Linked DNA regions of Drosophila melanogaster. The protein of the gene in region 2 binds, or shares a complex with, the protein of the main gene of each other region. Each region holds a gene or a part of one and is shown on either strand. Other genes may lie near its edges.

Region 1 (3,625 bases), on a different chromosome or scaffold from region 2:
CCATTATGCTAAAGCCAATACAGAAGATTCCTTTAATGAAGATCGGAGCGATGAACCTACAGCACTTACAAATCATCATCACAATAAATTAATTTCTAAAATGCAAGGAATTTCCCGCGAAGCTCGCTCAAACCAGAGAAGACTTTTAACAGCCTTTGGTTCTATGGGTGAGTCTGAGCTTTTAAAATTTAATCAGCTAAAGTTTCGGAAGAAACAGCTTAAGTTTGCAAAATCTGCGATACATGATTGGGGATTATTTGCAATGGAGCCCATAGCTGCAGACGAAATGGTTATTGAATATGTTGGTCAGATGATTCGACCTGTAGTTGCTGATCTAAGAGAAACAAAGTATGAAGCAATTGGGATTGGGAGTTCCTATTTGTTTCGAATTGACATGGAAACTATAATTGACGCAACTAAATGTGGAAACTTAGCTCGGTTTATAAATCACAGTTGCAATGTAAGTAAGCTGGATGTTCTGACATTATGTTACCAACATAAAATTTTGTTTTTCAGCCGAATTGCTACGCTAAGGTTATAACTATTGAATCTGAAAAGAAGATAGTAATATATTCAAAGCAACCCATTGGTATCAACGAGGAAATAACTTACGACTATAAATTTCCACTAGAAGACGAAAAAATACCTTGTCTATGCGGCGCCCAAGGATGTCGGGGTACACTTAACTAATACTTATTTACAACAATGAATTAAATATTTTAGAGCACATAAATTTAATTTGTTCATAAAATCCAAAGTGGGGTACGTGTAAGTATATATAGTTTTTTTTATAACTTAAAACTATAATTAATTATTATAAAAATTATATCAACGAGGTCAGAGGTGCTGTTCAAAATGGTTTAGGTCTAAATTAAGCTAAAATACTTTACTTATAAAAACAATATGTATATACTAAAACCCATTTGATCTGTAAACACGAACGAAAATGCAATAAATACATTATCTTAAATTTAAAAATAATTTGCCTTTATACAAAAATGTGTTAAGCAGCTATTGTAAATCATGTTTGAGTGTTATTTGCATATCTAATTGAGCCTGAGCAATGCATTCCAAAGAATACTGCATTTTTTCTAGCAAAAGTTCGCCTTTTTGCACTACTTCCTCTAGGTCTCTTGCAGTTCCCTGGTTTTCGATCTCGAGCCTCTTAAGGCTAGAATTTTGGAGTTCAATGGAGCTGTCTTCATTTGGAAGAGACTCGATTAAGGTGTCGATGTCTTTAGCACATCGTGCAATTAACTGTGCAAATAATTGGGCATAGTCTTCTTGCGGCGGACATGGGATTGGCGTTTGGGGTCCAATGCGTTCAAAATTAACAAATTTACTTGGAAGGGACGTTTGTTGAATTACACCAATAGCATTGCAGAAGTGCTCCGCTTGCTGCAATGATTATTTTACATAAAAAACTGGTTATTTCTTAATACGAAGTCACTTACCTGATTAACGGTGTCTTGCAATTGTGTAAGCCGATCCGCCATTTTACTACAGAGTTAATAATTCTGAAAAACAAAAAATTATATGGAATTAAGTTTGATTAGCCAGTTCAAATTTTGATTAACATTTTTAATATCAACATAACATAATCAACATAATATCAACATACAATGACCGTTGGTGATTTTTATAATATATAAGCATTTATTTATCGATTGATTTTATGTCTTATTTACAGATACCTCACAGCAGCGACTATTCTCTTAAAAAAAGAAATGCTATTAATATGAGTTCCACACTAAAACGTGATTTCTTTCAATGAGACGAATTATTCTTGTTCACACTGTGCCATAATAATGTCTTCATTCCAACGATATAAACTACCATAAGATTGTCGGAAACAGTGGAATCTCCATAATATATGACCACACGTTGCACATCGATCCCTCTTGTCTTGTTCAAAATCATCACAATTTCGGTTATAACAAGGAAGCAGTTGGTCTCCAAGTAGTCTGCAACCTCTCTCACACAATCTTGGTATATCCTTGAGGAGGGTATATCGATTTCAGTTATAAGCTTGCAACGAAGTGAAAAAAGCATTTCAGTCCAATTAAGTGGGTATAAATATCAGTAAGAACAGCCGTACCCTTTTTCACGATAATTATTCTTTTAATTTTTAACATATCTAAATCGGTTCACCATATCTTAAAGATGTCATATGAAAAATTTTAAAGCTACCTCTCTTGTTTTTTAAAGGTTTTTAAAAGCAACAAAGATTTTATGATACGAACACTTTGTGCCTCCGATTAGTTTTCTTGTGAGGGGATTTGAATGGGTGGTCAGTTTTACTAGGTATTTTAATTTTCTTCTCAGTTATTATTTCGATAAATAATTTGATTTTTTTCTCTCTGTGTATGTCTTCGTTCCGAAGGTATCACGCTCTAGTCAGAATTCTCAGAATTGTTGGCTGTTCTCGCTGAATGGATGCCCCACAGGTCGGAGCCATAAGTCCAGATTGGTTTTAAGACGGAGTTGTATAGGAGAGCTTTGAACTCCACGCTAAGTGGAGAGCGAGCATGAGCCAGTGAAGGTTCCTTGCATCTTATTGCGACTTCAGTAGCTTATGTATGTTTTGGAACAATAGCTTGGCTAGTTTAAGCAAAAGTCCATCCAGAAACACTGTCAAATGCCTGCGCGACGTCTAGTAAAATGGCTGTGTAATATTCTCGATGCTCAAAAGCAGTACGAATTTCTGACGTGATTCGATTGGCCTGTTCGATGGTTCCATGTTTTTTCCATGACGAGGGCTTATTCCCAGGAGTAGCATTTTTTCAAATAAATTTTAGAGATAAGTTAGTTACTGTATCGGTCTATATGATGATGGCTGCGTTTTATCTTTTCCTGGCATTGGAATCATTACTATGGTAGATTTTTTCCATTTTTGAGGGAAGTATCCATGCTTGGCGATTGCGTTGAACAACAAGCACATGTGCAGAACATCACACTGGGAGTTCAATAAGGATTTTTTGAGTTATTAGGTCGAAGCCAAAATCGCTTCAGTTGCTTTTTGATAACCTTTGCTAATTCACATAATCTAAGTTTGCTTCTGCTAAAGGAGGGAGAATAATGACTTTATAGCAGGATTTGGTAGAAATAAAATTTGTAAGTGGTCAGCAACTGCTCTGGCTCTTTTCTCATCACTGTCTTTTCTCTACAAAAGGTTCTTAGTGCTGGTGGGCATACGTCACTTTGCACCCGAAACTAGAATATTTTCAACAGTGTCCGTTGACTTGTCTATATTTTCCTTAGCAGATAATGCCGGCGTTAGTTCTATGTGTGATCTGGGTCTGGGATTTTTCTTGGGTCTGCTGGTCAGTATGTATTGGATAGCGTGGTGGGCAGTAGACTGCGGCTAGAGTCATTGAACCATTGTTGAGTAGTTAGACTATGGACGTAGATTGAGGTGGTTTTTATGCGATTTCTGATTAGTATGCCAGTGCCTCCAAGAGCTTTACCATCTGAATGATTTGTGAGGTGCGTTTCTGATAGTAGCATTACTCCAGTGTTTTTTTCGGTAATGAACTGTGTGAGTTCTTGTGTATGAAGTGAATAGATATCCGTAGGGAAGCCAGCATGGGGATTTTGAAGATACAAGAAGTTGTATCAGGAAATT
Region 2 (3,774 bases):
ACGTAAACATTTTGTATTGCTTTTTCTCATCCTGGTCGTAGGGATTGTGAGGATCCACAATTGGCGCGTGTTTCCACAGGTTGGGCGGCGTGTGATCCTGATAAAGGTATTCTATCGTCCGATTTCTCGTGCACTTTACAAAGCCCGCCGCGTTGAAGCGCTTGTCGTCCGACATGGTTTTAAACCTTTTCGGTTCCAACGTGAGCAAATAGGGATCAACTTCCTTGTTAGTTAGCTTTTTAGGGTGACGTTTGCGCGTTTCCTCAGGCCTGCGCTCGTTTTTCTCCGGTCTGTAAATATGAAAGGAAAACAATTATTATATCGCTAAATGCAGATTAAAAGAGGATAAGATTTCTTTTTTTTAAAGGACTGATTATTATGTAACTTAAATATTATAATGAAATCATCTTATGTTTAATCAAAATACTGGTGCTATCTTTAAAATTAATTAGACTTTCAACATTTAGGTCAAATAATCTCCCCAAATTCTTTAATGCCGGCTGATAAGAAAGAATTTAAGTGAATTATAATGTAAAAATATTTATTTAGGATGTGATCTATCTCTGAATAACTTGTTATTTTTATGAATGAACTGTCTACGTTTTTAGCTTCACTTGTCTGGTTAATTTCTCATTTCTTTATATACTCTGTTTGTTATTTGTTTTTGGAAGCACGAGAACGTGCCCTATCGTCCATTAACGGCAAGCCGGCTTCTGTGATATTAATGCAAACAAAGCCGAAGGGGGCGTAAAGTGAAGCTCGATAAGCGGAATTCTGGACCGAAAAGAGCCAGCAATGGCGACAAGTGGGGAGCACGTGGCCTTGTCTTTCTCCATCTTCTTAACTCTTCAGTTCTGAGTTAAACTTACGCAGCACTTCCGCTAGGGGTCTCCTTCTGCAACTCCGATGTGAGCAGGGCTTCGATCTGGTGCTCCACCACCTGGCACAGGTACTCCACTCGGTCTCCATAGATCTTGCCGCAGTACTGGAGGGCACTTCCTGCGGCCACGATGGCCGATCTTCGAGAGACATCATTTCGTCCTAAGCAGTGGCGCAGTAGCTCTTCAATATACTGAAAATATAAGCAATGTATTTGAGGATCTGCAGGCTTTTGTGTTCACTGTAAATAAAATAATAGATTTTCTTGAAAACCCATTTATATAATTTTAGTTAAAATACCAGTTATCGAGGCATGACTGTAAAACCCACGCACGTTGCGTCACACTTTTATTTTGATCTTTCTGCTCTTCGGCGGTTTTGCTTATCTTGATAATAGTGGTCTTCAACACTCACATATCCCAGTGATATCCGTAGGTCCGTGGAGTAGTCCGTGTTTTTGGAGAGCTCTTCGAGGAGGACGACTAGCGAGGCCAGGTCCTGTTGCTCATCGTAGGCGCGGATGCACTTGGCCACTTGGGTTCCCGGCCGATTCTTGGCTATTTCCAATATCTGCTCCCGCGCTTCGCTCAAGTAGGCTGTGAATTAAATAGAAACCGATTGGATTTACTTAAGCAAAAACCACACACCCAATCGCAGATCCGCTTTATTGTTTATTTCGGCCCTCCCCATACACACACACACACACTCGCATAGAAGCACCAACACACGCGGTATACTGGAAATAGCGCTGACTTAATCAATGGGAAACGAAGATCACGCCTGGGGCTGTCCTGCGTTGGTTACCTAAGTTCTGGATGCTTACCCGCTTCCGCTTCTTCAGGCAAAATCCGCTCCATGGCTCACTAGATGACACTAGGAAAAGTTTGTTTTATGTCCGGTTTTGCACATTTTACTGGCATCGTGCACAAGCACTGCAAGCACGCACACACGCTGAGTGGGGAAATCAAAATGGTGGAGGCAGCACGGCTTGTCTCTTAGTTGGGTCCAGTTATGTTATGGTTTTACGTTTTGTTTTCATTTCTTTGGCAGGAACAGGAATATTGGCGCGAATCGGTGCTGGAACAATTAGCTATTCACATCAAGATATATATGTGTTTCTTATTTTGTTGTGCTCTACCGACGAATGAGGGAAGAGACGGAGAAAAATTGCTATGGCAATGCTGTAGGGGGTGCATGCAAGCATGGTCACCTTTAAGTTATCGATAGCTAGGCACGGTGAATCATTTATTATTTCGAGCTCGATTAATATCTAATTTAATTTTTGTAATTGTAAATTATTTGTCAGTGTCTCAAAACATATTATAATAAATTCTGCTTATTATTGCATTGTCTAGCTTCAAACCTCTAGTGTGCTCATTTTTAAGAAAACAATTTGAGTGATAGTGTCATCACTATCGTGAGTGATTCGCCTGTCTCAGGTGCCATCACTTCTTCAAAACAAAAATCATTTATTATTTTTGTATTTCCGCACTTGTTAATCTCATAATGTCCAACCAGGAGACCCAGGTTTCCAGCCTGCCGATGCCGCCGGAGCGGTACATCGCCAATTACACGGACGAGAATATCCGCCGCAACCGAGCGCCACGCCCACCGCCGCCGCCGGCGCAGCACGAAGTCTATAGCATGTTTGGCATCCAGTACAACAACGACGAGATGATCCGCAGCTTGGAGTCCCAGAATATTAAGCGACTGATCCCCATCCATTTCGATCGGCGCAAGGAGCTCAAGAAGCTTAACCACTCCCTCTTGGTCAACTTCCTAGATCTCATTGACTTTCTTATCCTGAATCCTGACAGCCCGCGGCGCACGGAAAAGGTGAGTCAATTGACCCATTAAAATGTAGCATCTATTGTATTACACTCATTTGATATCTTAGATTGACGATATCAGTCTGCTGTTCGTCAACATGCATCACCTCCTCAATGAATTTCGCCCACATCAGGCGAGGGAAACGCTGCGCGTCATGATGGAAATGCAGAAGCGGCAGCGCGTTGAGACCGCCGCCCGTTTCCAAAAGCACTTGGAACGTGTGCGCGAGATCGTTAATACCGCCTTCTCAGCTCTGCCGGTTCTAGATGATGACGACGATAGCGGCGGAGCAAAGATTAAGACGGAGGTGGATCCGTTGGAGGCGAATGCGGCGGCCAAGAATGATCCCAGTTACCAGCACGATCGCATGTTGTGCAAGCTTGTGGACGCTATCGAGTAAGCTGAGTTGGCAAAAGACTGGACATCGACGCTGGAAATAGTGTCAATCATTGTGAATGGCTTGGAAAAAAGAGCTCCTCATATTTATAACTCCTTTTAGTATAAGAAATAAAACCCCAATTGTGGGATGAGAATCTTGCACGTCTAATGAGTAATTCATTCAATGGGAATTAATGTGTTAAGTCATCTTTGAGATAAGCTTTACACAGATAAGATCCGAGATAAAGGCTCATGATTAAGCATCCCACAAATTTCACCATTAAAATGACGTAGTCAGCGTGGAGTAATAATATAGTCAAATGTCATAAATTAATAATCTATCTAGAACAATTTATTCAGGATAGGAATAACAATATAAATGTATATATTTAATTGTAAAAATTGTAAAGACATGTGACATGACATGAGACATGAACACCTCACACGTTTTCCTACTTTTAATGGGTGCTACCGCATGGCATCATCGTGGCTAGCCGAAATATGCTCGTACAGTGCGTTTCATAATGTACATATACATATGTGGTTTTAATGAATTTGTATGGAGTTTCATCAAAATTACTAATTTTGTTTGATAAACATGATTAAAAAGTCAATAGAGATATTCATTCACAACTGGAGTATAATGTTTTCCCTAAAATTTTTTTAACTCACTGTGCCCTTTACAAA

What was found. Proteins that work in one complex are often made in the same cells at the same time.
Region 1: MED7 (region 2) and MED21 share a complex: the UniProt entries of both Drosophila melanogaster proteins name them as parts of the mediator complex.

The regions. Positions count from the first base shown.
Region 1 is NT_037436.4:25,114,208-25,117,832, forward strand, and holds MED21 (mediator complex subunit 21), read right to left. Parts: upstream 1,740-3,625; 5' UTR 1,622-1,739; exon of another isoform or gene 1,518-1,621; 5' UTR 1,497-1,517; coding exon 1,455-1,496; intron 1,399-1,454; coding exon 1,012-1,398; 3' UTR 717-1,011; downstream 1-716. Other genes in the region: Set1 (SET domain containing 1), read left to right, coding at 1-460, 517-690. UniProt on the Drosophila melanogaster protein: Component of the Mediator complex, a coactivator involved in the regulated transcription of nearly all RNA polymerase II-dependent genes.
Region 2 is NT_033777.3:10,759,545-10,763,318, reverse strand, and holds MED7 (mediator complex subunit 7), read left to right. Parts: upstream 1-2,286; 5' UTR 2,287-2,385; coding exon 2,386-2,715; intron 2,716-2,776; coding exon 2,777-3,109; 3' UTR 3,110-3,248; downstream 3,249-3,774. Other genes in the region: Cap-H2 (chromosome associated protein H2), read right to left, coding at 1-290, 870-1,072, 1,294-1,475, 1,703-1,736. UniProt on the Drosophila melanogaster protein: Component of the Mediator complex, a coactivator involved in the regulated transcription of nearly all RNA polymerase II-dependent genes.